Linked DNA regions of Tribolium castaneum. The protein of the gene in region 1 interacts with the protein of each later gene in a biochemical or structural test. Links are inferred from orthologs where the notes say so. Each region holds a gene or a part of one and is shown in the gene's direction. Other genes may lie near its edges. The genes, in order: Mhcl and sau.

What was found.
Region 2: the proteins of Mhcl (region 1) and sau form a complex in vitro, tested with the Homo sapiens proteins (2 studies listed by IntAct). The link is inferred for Tribolium castaneum from reciprocal best matches to the Homo sapiens genes MYO18A and GOLPH3.

Annotation. Positions count from the first base shown.
Region 1 is NC_087401.1:16,438,851-16,448,202, forward strand, and holds the start of Mhcl (unconventional myosin-XVIIIa), read left to right. Parts: upstream 1-3,324; 5' UTR 3,325-3,415; coding exon of another isoform or gene 3,416-3,422; intron 3,423-6,702; exon of another isoform or gene 6,703-6,962; coding exon of another isoform or gene 6,963-7,039; intron 7,040-7,094; coding exon of another isoform or gene 7,095-7,151; intron 7,152-7,211; coding exon of another isoform or gene 7,212-7,511; intron 7,512-8,975; coding exon of another isoform or gene 8,976-9,159; intron 9,160-9,352. Other genes in the region: TLC domain-containing protein 3A, read right to left, coding at 46-192, 283-513, 564-870, 2,450-2,709, 2,914-2,955; calmodulin, read right to left, coding at 6,963-7,039, 7,095-7,151, 7,212-7,511, 8,976-9,159.
Region 2 is NC_087403.1:8,419,514-8,428,922, reverse strand, and holds sau (Golgi phosphoprotein 3 homolog sauron), read left to right. Parts: upstream 1-2,452; coding exon 2,453-2,638; intron 2,639-2,690; coding exon 2,691-2,937; intron 2,938-2,993; coding exon 2,994-3,169; intron 3,170-4,924; coding exon 4,925-5,173; 3' UTR 5,174-5,570; downstream 5,571-9,409. Other genes in the region: tRNA pseudouridine synthase Pus10, read right to left, coding at 588-1,006, 1,053-1,378, 1,430-1,566, 1,613-1,847, 1,893-2,006; band 4.1-like protein 4, read left to right, coding at 7,513-7,661, 7,745-7,810, 8,020-8,116, 8,530-8,634, 8,685-8,806. UniProt on the Homo sapiens protein: Phosphatidylinositol-4-phosphate-binding protein that links Golgi membranes to the cytoskeleton and may participate in the tensile force required for vesicle budding from the Golgi.

The DNA of each region.
Region 1 (9,352 bases):
ATGTAATATTTATTTAAAGCGCTAAGCTCGGATTACAAGTCTTAGTTAATGCATCTTCAATGTCTTCTTTTTGGTCACTTTGCCTTTGAGCACTTGGGAGGCTCCTTTCACCATCAACAGAAACCAGTACACTTGCGGCAGCAACAGGATCACGATGCTCACCTTACATCCAGTCGGCAGCGATCGAATCGCCTGTAAACAAAAGAAAAATGCATTTTAAAGAATAACCCTGTATAACCAATAGTAGTGAAATACAGGGTTATTCCGCAGAATGTAACTTACGGAAAAATAATCCAAGTCGACGCTGCGTGCGTACAAGTATATCACACAGGGGAACATTGCCACCCTACAGACGAAAAACGTCCCCAACATCACAAGGCCATTGATTACGTACAAAATGGACGATTTCATGCCGATCTTTGACAAAATGCCCCTCAAGGACACAAAAGGAGTGCTAGCCTCCATCAGGTACACGAATCCGAAGAAACAATCACCAAGGCCACCTCTCAAATACTTGAATTTGGCATTATATAGAATGTCACACATAAAAAATTACTACCAACCGTTATAACTAAAAACCCAAAGCCACCGATAAAAATGTGATGTCCTACGATGACAGCATGACTTTTCAAATAGCTGAAAAATTTAACACCTGTTCGTTTAACATCGCCATTCATGCTGGCTTGCACAACTTTGGCATTGTGAACTTTGTACATCGACCAAATGTCGTAGAAAAAATACGCAGCACCAAACCAGGCATATGCCTCTGAGATGTAGTGAGAGGTGTGGAGCATGTCTCTGGTGCAGGAATAGGTGCAGCTGGTGAGGCCCGTGATGCAACAGAAGAGGGCTTGGACGGCTGAGACTTGTCTGAAATGACAAGTTTTTTTGCAACATACCAGCAATTTGAGGCACTCCGTGCGCTCGTGCTGCAAATTTTTTGCTGTAGATTGGAAAAAAATAAAAAATAAATGTCCCTAGACGTTATTGTTAAGTACAAAAACGCTTGTTCTCGCACAAATTAAGCCACTTGGACGGATGAGACTTGTCTGAAATGACACGCTTGTGCTATTTTTTTTTTACTAAAATGCCTCTTAAAAACTCCGAAGCTCATTTTTTTTGTTTAGAAAATACAAATTCCCAAATGAGCAATTTAATGCACTCCTTGCAAATTTTTTGCTCTAGATTGGAAAAAAATAAGTAATAAATGTCCCTACGCGTTATTGCAAAGTAAAAACATGCTTGTTCTCGCAGGCTTAAGATAAATAAAAAATAGCTACCAAAGAACTATGAGTTATTTCGCAAAATTTCGAAAATTCATCAATTTATTTTAAATTAGAACAAGCCGGAAAATCTCGAAAATTTCGTCAAAATATGCAAAAAAATATCAAAAAACCTTGAAAAAAATTGTATTTCTAAACGAGATTATTAGTTTTGTGTGAGGATTTTGCTAAATTAAGATAATAATTACATGATTTTGTGTCGTTTTCGAGCGTTTTCCAAACAAAACGTAATTATTATTTCGCAAAATTTTGTTAAAAACAAGTGCAAATAAAAACATTAAACCAAACATGTTATATTTTCCTCTTTTAAAAAAATTTGTTTGTTTCATTCGATTTCAGTTGGTTTTTAATCGAAACAATAAATGTAAAAAACATAAAATTTGGTAGAAAATTGTAGTATTTTTATCTTTTTTTAATGTCCAAGCATATTTTAAAACCAAATTCGCAGTTCTTAGTCAAAGTTTACTAAATCGGACGCAAAATTTTCTCAAAATTTTGAAAAAACAAAGTCAAAAAATTCATTATTAGTTCAATAATAGTGGTTTTGTTTAAAAAAAATCACTAAATTCTGTTGCATATGACATTTTTAACATGTTTATCATTCAGAAACACAATAACTTCTCAAAATTTTGTTAAAAACTAACCGAAAATTATGTTAAATTTCTCTTTTTTTATTTTTATTTTTTTATTCAAGTAGAAATATTTTTTTTGCACAGGCCAACAAACTTGCAAGTCCTTGTTTATTTGTTTCTTTTTTCTTTTTCTTTTATAATTTTTTACCTCTTACATATTATTACATATTTAATTTTTATAAAGAAGTGTTACAAAATATTATTATCAAATCGCCTGTGAAATATTGAAACACACAAAAATATTTAAATCATGACTGAATTTCCTCCAAAAAAAAAAAAAAAAAAACATTGAACGACAAAATCCTAAGCGCATTTTGTATTATCTAGAGTGCTTGCTGGACAAATTAGTCATCAATTTGACGAATTATGGCAATTCTTATGTAATATGTATTGCTGGTTGCATACCTTAGGCGTAAAAACTATGTTAAAACACTTTGTAATATTTATGATACGACTTCCCTACCGGTCAGAATTTAACAATTTCGTCCAAATTTAGTCGAAATGGTGTTTTTGTGGGAAATTTTCGCCACTTACTTGTTGCTAATATCAAAGACATCCGCTGGCGCCAGCTTGTACGTCCGTACGAATTTTTGTCCGAGCGACGTCCGCAACATCAGGTTGTTGCTAACGAGGTACAAAACGGTGAAAAACACCAATCCATAACAAAACAGTGAAAAGCCCCTTTTGATCGAAATTCTATCTTCCCAGTCGAGGTCAGTGACGGACAGCACTGACAGAACAAGTGTGGAGACCAGCACGAAAATGAGGGGTATATGCATGTGAGTCTTCCGGTGCTGCAAACGTGAAAAATGCAATTAGTGCCGACTTACGCAACCTTTCTACCTTCATCACTGATAACATTACCCCGAATACAACTCACTCCTTATCTCGCAACGTAAATATTTATGGATTATTTCGACGCGCACTCATCGGACCGATCGTATTAGATTTTATTACGGGGTTTTTCCGTGGGAGGGAAACTTGGGCGGAAAACTCACCTCTTTTTTGATTTGCGAAATTAGTTGCACTTTGGATTTCATTTTTTACACTTTTTTTTGCTATTATACTGGCTATTAATCGGGCTGTTTTTACATTGTTACGGCCGTTTTTACACACTTTTGTCACATAGTGCGGCTGGTTTGAGGTTAGGAACGGAATTTTTTCAAGTGTCAAAGTCGAAGCGAACGCAGCGACGCAGCGAAGGGACTTGCTAACTAATAGTTTTTGCAATTTTTTGCCAATTTAATCATAATTACATTTGGAATTATTGGGAAGGGGCTAAAAGCAAGTCTTGTTCTTATATAAAAGTTTGCACAACACTGGAATTAATTATTTTTGTTAAAAAAACGCCATTGTATTTTATGTTGGCGACACTTTTTACAATCATTTTTGACAGAAGTGACGCTAACAAGTTCGAATTGTGTGTTTATCGGTTAATTTGTGTTATTTCGGACTATTAGTGATCTGTGACCGTACTGATAAGGTGATAAGACTCTCCGAATGCCAGGTACGTTTTAATTACATGATTTTACAACTCTCCAGCACAATTTATTGTGTACTTAAATTTTATGGTCTACTAAGTACTTAAGCTAAAGTTAGTCATTAAGAATTATGGTTACTGTCGGAATAATTAGCCATCATTCTTAATTATTTATGTTTTTGACAATTAGTTCGTATCATGACCTACTTGTATCCAAGACGGCCTTTACAATTATTATGACACGTAGCGCCACCTGGTGAGCAAATGAGCTGCCATATGTGACGCCATCAAAGCTAACTAAGAAATTTGACTTTTAACAAAAAATTGGTTTTCTTATAAGTGTATTTCCGGAATAGATTTTCCTACAACATACAGGGACGCTAAAAAGTATGGATACAGTTAAATAATATAAAAACTGTTCATCCAAACTTACTGAAATTTGGTGTATGCTAAAGTGTACGTAATTCCTATCGTTTCAGATGTTTATTAAATTTTTATTTCCATTTGTTCTTCGGATACAAGGCTAACTTGATTTTTTTTGAATAGCAACAAGGGTCAAATTTAATATATTTGGGTTCTATGATGTAATACATACCTTAATTTAATCGAAACTTAAAAAAAAAAATCGAAAATTTTGAAAAATGCAAAATTTTGTTAGCCTTGAAAACTTTGTCTTTATCTTTAGTTTGTTTGAACATTAACCAAAAAATAAGTAAAAGTTAAAAATAACAGTTTTAACTGAAAGAAACACGTTTTAATTAAAAAAAAAATTACATATTTGATTTTTATGCCACAAAAGATAATCAAAATGATTTCCACTAACTTCTTGGCTTTCTGACTCTGATAAAGCAACATGAGGATTTTTTTTCGTTCAGTTTTCTATTATTAAACAAATTATTGCACCCAAGTTTATTTTTTGGCTAATATACGAGTGACATATTGCTAACAGCAGTATTTTCAAAGCTAACTTAGTTTTACTATTCCAGAAAATTTTTGAATTTTAATTTTTTTACCTTTTAATAAAAGTAAGGGTGGGTATTATGTAACATCACTGAATTCAGGAAAAAAGGCTCTTTTAAAAATGATAAAATTTGACCCTTCGTGCCATTAAAAAAAATCAAGTTAGCCTTGTATTTTTAAAATAAATGACGATAGAAATTTGAAAAAGATTTCAGTTTAAAACAGTTAAGTTAAACATTAAAATAGACATTATGTAGTTTATTAAATATAATATTTATTTGTCGAATGAAGAATAAGCGTTTGTGGATGTTTTTTTTATTAAAAAATACAAAAAATTTAAAAAAAACCGTGCTAACAGCACATTTTGAGGCAGTCGCCACAGCACTCGTTACACTCGCTACAACAATCACAAGAGAAACACCAGTGACACATCGCACAATCAGCGCAATCACAACAATCACAACAACAATTCGGATCGAGACAACACATACAACAACCTGCTGTTACAAGAGGGTTGTCGTCGGCGTCGAAATTTGTTGTTCTTTTCGGTTGTTGTTGTACAATTTCTTGAACACTTTGTGGTGGCTATCGGAATAGATCATAATTGAGTCATCGATAATTTAAGTAAATTTATAATTGTGTATGATGTATGGCTTACCTGGACTGAATTGTTGGACGGGATTACGGAACTTGATACAAAAAATAATTAGTTAAATTTAATTGTATGACTGGAATTTATTTACCTGACACAGATACCCATGTTGAGGGAAATTAATTATGTAAACAAATACAGCGGGATTTCGTTGGGCAAACTGGTTACTTTACATTGACGAAAATAAATTTCGGTATTGTTCGTTTTTATTCGTTTTATAATTAGTCCTTGTGGTGGCTTCAATGTTTATTTACTACGCTGTGAAAAAATCACTACTAGGCGGTTGTTGATCGCTGACCTGTTGCCTCTTTGTTTTTCAGCTGGATTTTTTTTTTGTAAAAAATTTTTACCTAAGTAGAACTCATGACGCAAGTAAAGAAAGACAGCACTGTTAAAAAACTTGCGAGTATTTAACGAATACAAGGTCGTGGTTTTGCTTGTTTTTATGGTGGACTAAGTAGTTGTATGGGATTGAACTTTTCTACAATTTCTGATAAGTGATAATTAAAATTAATTAATTAATTATTTCTAATGACTAATTAGTAATTAGTAAAAATGTGTTTTAAACAGTTTTTTTCAATGTTTTTCTCGAACGAGAAAAATCCATGAATACAAATTATTTGGTTATAAAAAAAACGAATTTCACACTCGAATTTGTTTTATTTTTTTTTAATATTTAGAAATCACAATCACAATCACAATCTCCGCAGTCACAGTCACAATCGCAATCACAATCTCCGCAGACTAATAAATCACAACAACAACAACAATCACATTTGCAACAATTACAGTCATCGTGATGATGGTGGTGATGATGATGAGTTGGTGTTATGCAAAATATGCAACAATTTCCACAATCAGGGTCTGTGTAATTTTCGGATCGAGTCGGTTGTTGGTCAATTACTGGTTGTTGACGAAGCCTTCTTTCCTCTTCTGCTTGCATATTATTTAATTCGATGGGCGGTGGCTAAAATTTAAGTTTGTTTGGTGAAAAAATGAATGAATTAAAAAAAAATTTACCATTGTTTGTGAGGAGTTGTTGTCAAGTGCCATAGCGCTTTATTTAAAAAAAGTAATTAAGTGGAAATGTGATTTGTAATGTGAGCCCCTACCTTACTAAAAGCCCCATTTTGAAGGTGGTTAGTGCTTGAAATATCACGTTTTTTGGTGTGAATTGTGTAAATCAAACGCTTCCATTTGGTAAAGTCAACAGATAAGGTTTTTGGTTATCTCAGTTTGTAGAATTTATCGCCGATAAAAATAAATACGCTAGCGTTAAAGAGTCAATAATTAATAGTTATTTAATTAAGTAATTATTTGATGAAGGCGTTGAGTAATTTAAAGCACGGACGAGCGATAGCGAGTGAGTGCTTCAAATAGTTGAGATTAATAATCGCCCATTAAATAACGAGTTGATTTACGACGTTTTTGTCATTCTGGTGATAAAATTTGAAATAAATACCGAATCAGAACCAATTCTTGTGAATTAAATGCAAGAAAATCGATTAAAATTTGGTAACAATTAGTTATGGGTGATTGAAAAAATTGCTAAAAAATTGGCGAAGGTATTTTATGTAAATTATGTCCAAAAACGGACCGCCAGGAGCCACACTAATGACAAGAAGAATATTAATCACAAAACAAAAATTGCAGAAGCATGAAAAATAATATCTTTCCCCCAAAATATTAACTCAGTTTTTGTTTCGAATAGTTTTATTTCATGTAATTCAAACAATATAATAAGCATTAATTCGACAAATAAATAAACACAAAAATTTGAAATGTATCACCCAATTGTAAAGCTTGTAGAATTGGCTACCATATACCCGTCAAGAAGTTTCGACATCTATGGACCCCCTTAATAGACGATTATTGCAAACAGCAAATTCAGAGAAAACATCACATCCAGATGTAAAAATTCGATATGATTCATACATTGATATAACACTTAGAAATTAATAACCGATTATTTCATCGTCTTCGTCGTCGTAACTGTCTTCGGTGCCCGGCTCTCCCAGAGCATTGACAAATTCTGAAAAAAAATTAATGTAGTTGTTAAAAATTTAACTTTATTCAGCCAAACGTACCGTAGAAATCTATACGGCCGTCACCGTCAACATCGACTTCTTTAATCATATCTTCAACTAAAAAAAAAAAAAACGAAAAATAAAGCGTTTTTCGTTTTTCTGAAAAATAAAACTCACTCTCTTCTTCTGAAAGGTCCTCCCCAAGACATTGCAAAACCGCCCTCAAATCGGAGGCGGTAATATACCCTCTATTATGTTTATCAAACACTCTAAACGCGTCCCTCAATTCCTTCTCTTCCTCCTCCCTCGAGAGGACATGTTCGGGGTCACCTCCAGCGCCCGCTGACCAAGCAATGTCAACAAATTCCTCAAAACTGACATTTCCGTCACCGTCAACATCCACCTCCTGGAGCATTTGTTGCAATTCTTCGGTTCGGGCGAATTGGCCTAACGAACGCATAACACGTCCCAGCTCCTCTACAAAAAAATTTAAAAAAAGTTCAGTAAAACTACAGGTGTTCCGTCTAAACCCCACATTGGTAGTCATTTGAAAATTTGTATACAACCATAATCTCTTAGGTCCTGCACAATGAAAATATCTTCGAGATGGTGGCACTTCCGGCTATACCGGAAGTCGCTATCAACTTGCTTATTTCAAATGGAAAGCTAGATTTTTATTGCGTTTTTGGATTACTTGAGTTATTTATTATTTATTTATTATTTATTAAGGTAGTTTTCATAAGCCTTCCCTATACCTAAATTAAGCCGTTTACGAAATATTTAGGTTTTTAATTTTTTTTTGGGTTTGCACCTTCCAGTTCAAAAATCGATACCTCTGCCATTTCTAAAAATTTGGAAATATTTTTTAGCTCATTTGAAAGAGGAAGCTTAGGTCTCTCCTTTGGTGTTTTCAAATTTCTAAAAAGTAATAACAAACCCAAAATTTTTAAAGTTAAGTTTTCAGAACTTTAAACACCCATAACTCATTTTTTTCAAATGAAATGCCACAAATTTTATTTCATTAAATCGTAGAGAATTTAATTCTGCATCGATTTGTATTAGCATTCCCTATACTTATGTTTAATAGTTTTCAAGTTACAATAACTTTTTGTTGGGATTGAGCAATTTTCTCATAGGTTGCCATGGAAACGAGAGAAAAAAATGTGAGAAATTAAAGTTTTTTAAATGAATTTATTTTGTTTTCACACGACGGACAACACAATTTTGAGGAGAGTTTGTCGTTTGTTTAATCAGAAATGTTTTCAAGGCAAACTATGCAAAAATAGCTGTGGTTAGTAAGAAATTTTCTACAATGTCAAAAAAACCAACATAACTTGAAAATTATCACAGATAGGTATAGGGAATGCTAACATAGATCGATGCAGAAAAAAACTCTCCTCCATCTAGTAAAAAAAAAATTGGGACATTCCATTTAAAAAAATTATGTTATGGGTACTTGAAGTTGTCCAAACTTGACATTAAAATTTTTGGGTTTGTTAACTTCTTTTCCAATTTTGAACACACAGGAGAACATATCTAGGCTTCGTCTTTCAATTCTCCAAATATGATTTCGAAATTTCTAAAACTAGGAGAGTTACCGATTTTTTAAGTGACAGGTGCAAATCCAAAAATTTTCAAAAAAACTTAAATATCTCGAAAACGGTTAAACGTAGGTATAGGGAAAGCTGATAAAAACGGCCTTAAAATAACTCAACTGATCCAAAAACGCAGCTAAAAACATAGCTTTCGATTTAAAATAAGCAAGTTGATAGCGACTTCCGGTATAAGCGGAAGTGCCGCCATCTTGAAAATATTTTTGTTGGGCAGAAATCAACGGATTATGGGCAAGTACCAACTTTCAAATACATATCTTTATTAGAACTTTGAATACTTCTAATGTGGGGTTTAGGTGGAACACCCTGTATAATAACTGTACTTTACCTTTGGTGATGCTTCCGTCACCGTCCTTGTCGAAGAGCCGGAACGCTTCCCGAAACTCCTTCATTTGGCTCTTGGAGACTTCGGAGTGTCGTGCCGAGAGCCGAGTTGGCGGTTTGGTTTCTTCCATCTTCGTTTCGGTGGCGATGACGACGTCTTCAGGGTCGGTCTGGGTGGTTTGTCGGGTCTGCAAAGGTTCAGTCAGGTCGTAGGTGGCGTGTCGTCGAAGACACAAAAAGAAGTTTCGGAATTTCATTGTTTTCAAAAGAACTGATCATTAAATGATTGGTGTTTTTTTTTATATATACCGCAGAGTGTTGGTGTTATCGTAATGGAGAGAGGGTGTAGCGGTGACGTAATGCAAACATGATTTTTGTTTA
Region 2 (9,409 bases), on another chromosome or scaffold:
TTTTTGGCAAAACTTTAACTTCAACGTAATTTTTTTAACGAAATTTTCAGGTAAAAAACAATAAATAAACAAAACTTTTTGCAATTGAGATGAGTTGCTGACGATTTTTTCACTTAACTTTTGACTTAGGGAAGCATTAAAGCCGTTTAAAAAAACATCGTTTATTTTTTGACAGCTGTCAAACTAAACATTCAATTAAAATAATAATGAATAAGTCCAAAAATTCAAAGTGATTGGTTTCTCACTTTATTATAATGGCCAACCTTAAATGGACCAATCATATCCAAAAAAATATTTTTTTCAATGAATCAAAATAGTCTAAAGTGATTGGTTTTCTCCGTAATTCTAATGGCCGACCTCAAACGGACCAATCATATCCAAAAATCTAATTTCTCAATGAACCAAGGAACCTAAAGGGATTGGTTTTCTCCGTAATTTTAATGGCCGACCTCAAACCGCCCAATCAAAATATTTACAAATTTTACAACAACCGTAATCAATTAACAGGTCAAACTTATTCATAATTTCACGACTATGAGTCGTACTAAGATGATCAGTTATTATTATTTTTTCGGAGCGCGCTCTACCTGTGACCGGCCTTGCCTCCATGTTGTAAATCTCCTTCTCCCTGACGTCAGCCGACCGCCTGTGATACACTCTCAGGGGCGTTTTTTGTAGCAATTTCACCCTTTTCATGTTGTTGATTTTTTCAATATATTCGCCAATTTTTTCCGGCTTGTCTACGACACACAACGCCCTGTACGTCTTTTGTTTAAATTGTTCCCCCTCTTTGATATTGTTAAGCAACTTCCGCGAAATAAATTGCAAGTCTCTGACTTCAATTAAATTAGTTTCTTCAATTTGTTTCTCAATCAGGCGGAATTGTTCAAATGGTATTGTGGTGACTTTGGGGTCACATATTTTTACGAAAAACGGACGGCCTCTTCCTAGCATTCGTACGTCAAAATCCTCACGACCACTTGACGAAAACACCAAACTGCTGCATCTGGAGTTACACAATTACGACAACAAAAACTAGGGATGAAACTCACTTAAAGACGCTTTCCAGCGACTTAAATAAAATTTCTTGAACTGAACTGTTGATTACTTGGACTTCGTCGTTGGCCCACGGTGTTTGAAACAGGTTTCTTGAATATTTACAGTACCTTCCGGCTATAAAAATATAATCGTGCTTGTAAGCCACTTGGTCGAAACTTAAAGCTTTCCCGGGCGGTTCCGGAGGGACAGCGGCATGTTTTTTGAAAAGTTCGGTGTTTATTGTCTTTAAAAACTCCCCGATTACGTTACGACTAAGACCCTCGTTTTGTCCATTTGATTTTTTCAGTCTACTTTCCATCAGAAACATAATTGACGACTCCTAATACAACTTATTAATTTTTAAACAAGCAGTGGTTAGTCCTTTCGTTACCTCTTTTTCAAATTCATAAGTCGTGTTAAACTGGATTTGGAGCAATGAATCTTTATTGAACTTTTTGCCAAGTTTTTCGCCCAGTTTGTTTTGTATTGACAAGGACCATGCCCTGTTTATTGGAACAATGTTACGATCTGAAATGTAAGCATTTCAACTATTTCAACAAGCAAACCAAACAACCTTCAAAAAACTTGGGGAACTTCTCATTCATATGAATCTCCATGCTGTGTTCCCTTATTAGAACAGCAACCGGAAAACTAATGAAATTAATAAAAGTCTTGCAATCGTACTCCTTAACACCCTCCAGTTCTTCACACTGAACCATGGATTCAAGAGTCACATCTTGGAGCAAATCGAGACAAATTATGCACGAATTCAATTTCGTCTTTTTCGCCAACTGGTCGTGTCCGTTTTGCTACAAAAAAAACCTTTAATTGTTGAAAATACGACTTTTTTTTACCTGTGGATTATCATAATCGGCTGTGTTATCGCCAACGTAGCGTAAAGCGCACCTTTTGCAACACCCAGTCTCCAATAAAAAATTGAAAACTTCGGCTTTATCACTTTCGGTCATTTTTAAATAAAATAATGTGGTGGCAAAAAGTGAGGTTAAAAACGGTGGGTTATGCAACCCATTCGACAACAATTTTTTCCAAACTTGAAAAAATCCCGTGGTGGGGAAATCATAAAAATTGTGGGTGCTGATTACTTGGCATTGTTAGATTTTCTGTACAAAGGGATTAAATTGGAATTGATAAGAGCGTGACGTAATCGTAGGACGTAATCACTTTTTCCCGATTTTTGATTTTTTATCCAAAAAAAAGGCTTGAAGGGTTAGTTTAGTTTGTTAAATACTAGAAATGAATAATTTTCTTAGAAAGTGAGCGAATTTGTCGATTTTTCGGACGGAGTGGTTTTCTGCCAGCAGCCTACATGCTTTTGACATTTGCCATGTTGATGGAAGTCAGTTAAACGTCAAGTCTTGTAGAAAATAAATAAGTTATTTGATATTTAATTAAAATGAATCGGAGTGAAGGGCTGGTGCAAAGACGAAACATAATACGTGACTCAGGTGAAGGTGTGAAAGAATCGCAGAACAATGAGAAGAAGCAGGAGCACGACGAAGACATAGACGAGGGCGATTCCAAAGAAACCCGATTAACTTTAATGGAAGAAGTATTATTATTAGGCTTAAAAGACAAAGAAGTAGGGCTTCGCCCCCCGTGTGCTCACCACACCTAACCGTGTCGTTTTTAAGGGTTACACATCGTTTTGGAACGACTGCATTTCGAGCGGTCTCCGGGGGTGTATTCTAATCGAGTTAGGTTTACGTGGACGTGTGGAACTCGAGCGGGCTGGTATGCGCCGAAAGGCGCTCCTCACCCGCAAACTTATCCTCAAAAACGACACACCTACCGGAGACGTCCTCCTAGATGAAGCTTTAAAACATCTCAAGGAAACAGATCCACCAGAAACGGTTCAAAGCTGGATTGAGTACCTCAGCGGTATGCTCCAAATGCCCCTTTCTGCCCCCAGGTTCACTTAATTGCGTGCTTTTAAGGCGAAACTTGGAACCCCCTCAAACTGCGCTACCAGCTGAAGAACGTGCGGGAACGCCTAGCGAAAAACCTCGTCGAGAAGGGGGTTCTCACAACGGAGAAGCAAAACTTTCTGCTGTTTGATATGACCACGCACCCTCTGACCGATAACGTCACCAAAAGCCGTTTAATAAAAAAGGTACGTTTTGATACAGCAGGTGGTAAAGGGTGCCCCGTTCTACTAAATAGTAGATCAAGTAGAACTTTAACGATAGGCAGGTAAAGTACTAAGAAGAGTATACGACTTACACTTGCGAATTATTCCCTAATTACATTGTCTTCATTTCTATTTTTTTGTTTTCGTTACGTTTTTACATAATTAAGTGTATTTATGTCCACAACTTTCAAAATCTTCACTTTTTTTAGTTAAGTTTTCTGGGTAGTCTATATCGTCGTATATAGAAAATATCATTTTTGCTTATAGTTTAAGTTTTTAAAATTTGTAAAAGCTTTGAAAGAGTGTAACTGAGGTAATTATGCAATACTCCTTCCCAAAGCTTTTATAAATTTTAAAATTGTAAGATATAAGCACAAATGTATGTTTCTGAGAAAAAACTTATTCTTCACCTTTTCTTTATTTTTTCCTATTTATTGAATAGTTTATTGTATTTATTTACACTCTCTGGTGTAAATTATATTCGACACCGATTGTGCATAACAAATATTTGGAAAATACTAGTCTCTAATTCGACTGCCTTGAACTAAAATGCAGTATCTGCTTTTAATCTTTCAGTAGACCAAAAAATACTTATTTAACCGGCCTCTTTGAATGACTAACTCTTTACTCATATTGTTTAACTTAAAAATATCGTTTTTTTAGGACAGTTTAAGACGTGAGTATTAAATTATCTAAAACAACGTGATATTAAAGTATAAGTGGATATTGAGGTATTTAAAATATGCAGGATTTGTCGAGCACGACGGCGTAGCCGGAGTGCTCGTAAAAGAGTTATACATGAATACTTTACGTTAGTTTTTTTATTGGTACACTTTGAAATCATAAATATTGATATTACAAATATTGAAAATAATGTAATGTGAGATCAGTTTACCTTTCGTTGCCATGGAATTGATTATCATTTTAATAAAAAATGTTAAAAAAGTTAGTATTTATTTTCACTTTTCTTGGGTTATTATGTTATTAATGTTGCCATGGACACTTTAAGAAACGTGCTGCTGTGTGCTTTAAATAAGCAAAATAGATTGCCAATAATAAACTAAAAGTTCGATTAAAAGTTATATTATTGTATAAATGTATTCTTTTTTACACCTATATGAGTTATTTTTACGTAAACAAATGGACTACGATTGACTGTCTCTAAGACATTTTGTAGATACGGTGTTTTACCTTGGGAAAAGGAATGTTTTATTACAGTTAGTGTTTATTCATTTAGAAAAAGAATTGCTAATAAGTATTTAAATGAACCTAAGCGTAAAAATAATGCTAAATATGTAAAAAACTCATCAAAAAATTTTTTGGGTACTGTGTTTTTACTTGGAATTGATTTGGTCCCATTCCCATTTTTCAACTAAAGGCCAGGATATTGATAAATTAATTACAATTGTTAATTATTTACAAATTATTAAATAATGTATATATTATTGTAATGTCACAAAATTACGTATGTATGAATTTTAGCTTGTTAATATGTTAGTTCCTGTGGGAAAAAAGGGTTTGGTTTCGTCTTAAAAAATCCTAACAGAATTAACTAACTTATTAAACTAAATAGCACGGAGGTTACGTATGTATGCAAAATTTCAGCTGGTTCGGCAGCAAAGCAAGTTAACTATTGTTTGCCCTTTAGAGATCGGGAAATACTTTGTTATTTTGAATTTAAGCAAAGTGTGTCTGAATTTCTGGCGGAGGGCTTGGGGTAAAAAACCGCTTTTTCAGATCCAGGATGCCGTACTTACGAAGTGGGTGAACGACCCCCAGCGCATGGACAAGCGGATGTTGGCGTTGATTTTCCTGGCCCATGCTAGTGACGTTCTGGAGAACGCTTTTGCGCCCCTAAATGACGACGACTACGAATTGGCAATAAAGCGAGTACGAGAGTTACTTGACTTGGACTTTGAGCAAGAATCAGTCAAACCAAACACTTCGGAGGTACTGTGGGCCGTTTTCGCCGCTTTCACGAAATGAAAATAAACTGTTTTTGCTACTAAATTTTAACTATAAATAAATTACGTTGAAATATTGAAGTTATCAGTTTTGTATTTAATGTGATGTTAGTTTGTACATTGGAAATTTTTTCTATGTGGAGTACACAGGCTAGACTAGGATAATCAGTTTCAGTGGTAATACACAGGGTGTTTAGCTTCGTTGATGTTTAGAGGCTTCGGACATCAGGAAACTATGTACTCCAACTTTTATTTGTACATAACTTCGAACTAAATGTATTGTTCATGTATGTCAAATATTACCTAATTATTATTATTTTATAAATTATAATTCTACTCTCATTGCAGGAGTTAGCCTTAATTTGTATTAAAATATTCCCATTTTCTTTATAAAAATAAAGTTGTATCAATATTTATAACTCCGACTTTTATTTACCTTTTCTTATCGCAGAACCGCAGTTAATTGCCAAAGCATGCCAACGTTGATAATAAAAAGTGGCGTCCGAGTGGGTGTAGATAATCACATTCATGGAATTATCAACTTCCGGTGCATCGCTATCTTGCGAGAATGCGAGAAACAAAGAGTAATTATAATCAAAGACGATTGGTAAATGAACAAATAAATCATCTGCTGTCGCCTTATTGGTCATGCTTAGCCAATCACACGTCGGATTTTTATGCCTCTTCTTTTGTTTTTTTGCACGACTAGGCAACCAATAATTATCGAGCAATGACTTTCATTGCTATCTAGCATCTTTCCGACACCGTAACACCAATCTAGCGATGATATCCTGCTTAATTGGCTTAATAATTCGGTTCTCAGGATGAAAAAACTTCCGCTGGGTCACGGTGGTCAGAGACAAAGCACTCGGACTATTTCCACTTAATTAGCGAGATTTACGGGTGCCTATTTAATTGATTGTTTTGCACTCACGGAAAACTACTTTGAATTAAAAATGGACGAGATTAGGTTGTAGAGGCCGAACGTTCACTTCGCCTTTGTTCGGATTTTTCGCAAGATTTTAATTGCAAATTCGGGATTATAATGAAATTAGTTTGCGAATATTTTATCAATTATCACCCACACCGAATTCGGAAAGGTGAAGCCGTCTTTGTTCATGCAAAACAGATGGTTTGAAAGGTGGCGGCAAGGCCTTTAATAGCCCTCCGGAGTTTGCCGGTTGACTGAAACCAGTTACATCGGATGTTGAGGAAATGAGTCCACGTTTCTTTTCCAACTTTTTATTAGCAACTAATCAAATCTGGTATAACTGGACTAATTACCGGGAATTTGACGCCGCTAACGGTTGACGGCGAGTAAAATATTGCGTTGTTTCGTGTCCGGTGACCGGAAACGGCGAGGAGTAGGGCTGGGACCCGATGGGGGCTTACCTGGGCCCAGAAATCATTTTACAGATCAGTAAATTAGACCCGTTTTCCCACCTCTTCACTTGCCAAGACGATTCGTAAACCGAACAGCATGTAAGCAATTTACCGTGTCAATTTCCATGGGTCGGTTGTTCTCTTCTGTAGTTAGAAGCAGGTCTCTGTGGTGTGCTGTTCTTACCTGTACCTTGATTTAAAACTGAACTTCAAAGTTGAATGGCCTAGGATGTACATCGCTATTTAACTGTATATTGCTAGTGCAGTGGAGTGATGTTGAGTTATATTTTAATAACGATGATTAATTGATTTTATTTATTACGAGTTGAGGATTATTTTCACGGCCACTCCAGGTAAGACAATGATACTTTCATTCGGTGTGTGCGAGCACACACGCAAAAATTCATTGTTTAACACATCGGAGGCGGGTCAACTCACACTAGAACAATCATCAAACTCACTCAATTAATAATTTCGTTCCGTTTGTGCTTGAAATTAATCATTTTTTGTTTGGTGAATTGTAAGTTTCGGTTTTGGTGGTCACAGCTGCTCTGTTTGAAAACCACTTCCGTGGTTTGTGTTTCCCACCGGAATTTTTCCTAATTTTTAAGTTTCAATCGTTTGAAAATTGTGGCACGATTCGGCTGGGCTTAATTGAATTATGCAAAAGTGGCTCGTAACTGAGCTTCTTGGAGACAGTCATTAATGAAATGATTGAAATGGGAAACATTTTTGAATTCGTAAAACGCCAGGCCGGGAAAAATTGCTTATTTCTCAAGATGGTATTTCGAGTGTTGTTTAAACGTATTATTAGGATCATGAAGATTAATTACGATATTGTAAAACCCGAAAGAGTTTCGAGACTAGTGGACTAAAATTATTTTGTAGCTCGGGGCCGAAAATAATTAATGCATAGCAATTTCGTGACTATATGGCCGCCTATTTCAACCTGCATCCTGAGAAGGTTTTGGGAGAAGAATGTGGGGCGATGTCGGGTGGAAAGCATCATTTTTTATCTCCGATAATCTAATATTGTTCACGTCGAAACTCTTTAATGTGTGTAACGGATGTAGGTGGCATCATTCAAATTCCAACAAAAATTTCGATAAAATAAACAAATTAACGAGGTATATTGTAATCAGTGCACGTTAACATGACTGTTGTACGCATACGAAATTTATTCAAATAACTCGCGTGTGGTTATTTTCAGTGAGGATTATTTTTATTGTCTGGTTAATAAGCTGCGTAATTTGTTAAGACTGTGGTGTCCACCCTCGTAAGTCACTGAACTCGATTATCACCTACTCACAACTACATCCCATTGTCAAGAAAGAGTGGCAAATATAATGGCCCTTAATATATCAGAATAAGAGTTGTCTTTGTTTGGTAAAAAATCGCGCCAAAATAAGACAGCGGCCAATTCTTCACAAGATTATATCCATTAGCGCATCCATTAATTGCTTATCGACTTATGTTATATTTCAGGTTTTTACTTAGTATGGACTGTATTTGTTCGAAACCGAGAGTAATCCACTGCAAAATAATTCTTTTGGATGAACAAGAGCTAATTCACGAGATCGAAGTGAGTATGACCGTTTTGGTCACTGTTGTTACATCATCGTGAGTCAGTGACACGTCTGTAGTTTTATTTTCAATAATTTTCAGCTCGCCGATGAAACAATATTGCGTGATAAAATGTTTGGGCGCGGCTTAACAATTAATGCCTAACAGATTTAAGAAAATTTCTCAAAGTAGTAATTTGGTGTCTAGACACACGTAATTATTCCTGCCCTCGATCCCGCTTTGCGGTTGAAAAATATTCAAAACCGTACAGACGTTTTCATGATTATATACCATTGCACAAAATTATGAATTCGACTTGAACTCAAGGCTTCGCGAACAATCAACTTTCGACCATCCACTAATTGATTATATTTATCGGTTTAGAGAAATCTTTTTATTCATTGTTCGCGATTTCACACTTTCTTTTTCTAGGATTCTTGCACCGGACAAGCTTTACTCGACGTCGTTTTTCGCAATTTAAATCTACTCGAAACGGCCTATTTCGGCTTGCGATATTTAGACCAAACCGGACAAACTGTAAGTCTTTTTAATTGACAAATTCTATTCAAAGCGTTTGTCCCAACCAGCACTGGCTCGACCCAGCCAAAACTCTAAGCAAACAAATTAAAGGACCTGATCCTTTCACTTTCTATTTTGGAGTCAAATTTTACGCCGCCGATCCCTGCAAACTCCTCGAAGAAATCACAAGGTAAGTTAAATTACCGCCGTTAACTTAATTAAACCATTCATTTTATGGCTTGTTATACCCACACTTACAGTCTCATTAAGCAACTATGCCACCAAACTAGACCACTCACACGAGAAAAAATATTTTGCCGCATCCCCCGCACATATTATCAAACCCTTTTCGCACTAAAAATAATTTAAAATTAAATTGTAACACATCTGCCCACGTTCGAGCAAAACAATTAAAATTTTGCGAAAAAACGGAAAAATCAAATAGAATTGCGAAAGCTTTCAGCTTTGTGCTGCTCATATTTTGATTCTGTTAAAACGTCCGAACGATTTTGATCCTCTAACCAGCGTAATTAGAAAGCACAAATAATTGGAACACCGGAAACTTCAAGCTTGACAATTGACTAATTATACGTTAAAGTGAAATTATTTAAGTTTTAAAAAATTTAAGCTCTGCACTTACGATAGCACTCATTATCGTCATTAAATAATAATTTAACGATTCTCACATCCTCTTCGCCTTAACCATAAATTTAACACAAATGTGTCTACTTTTTGCCTTAAATATGTATCTTCCGTTTGATTTTTTGTCATTTCGTTGCGATTCAAGTGTGTC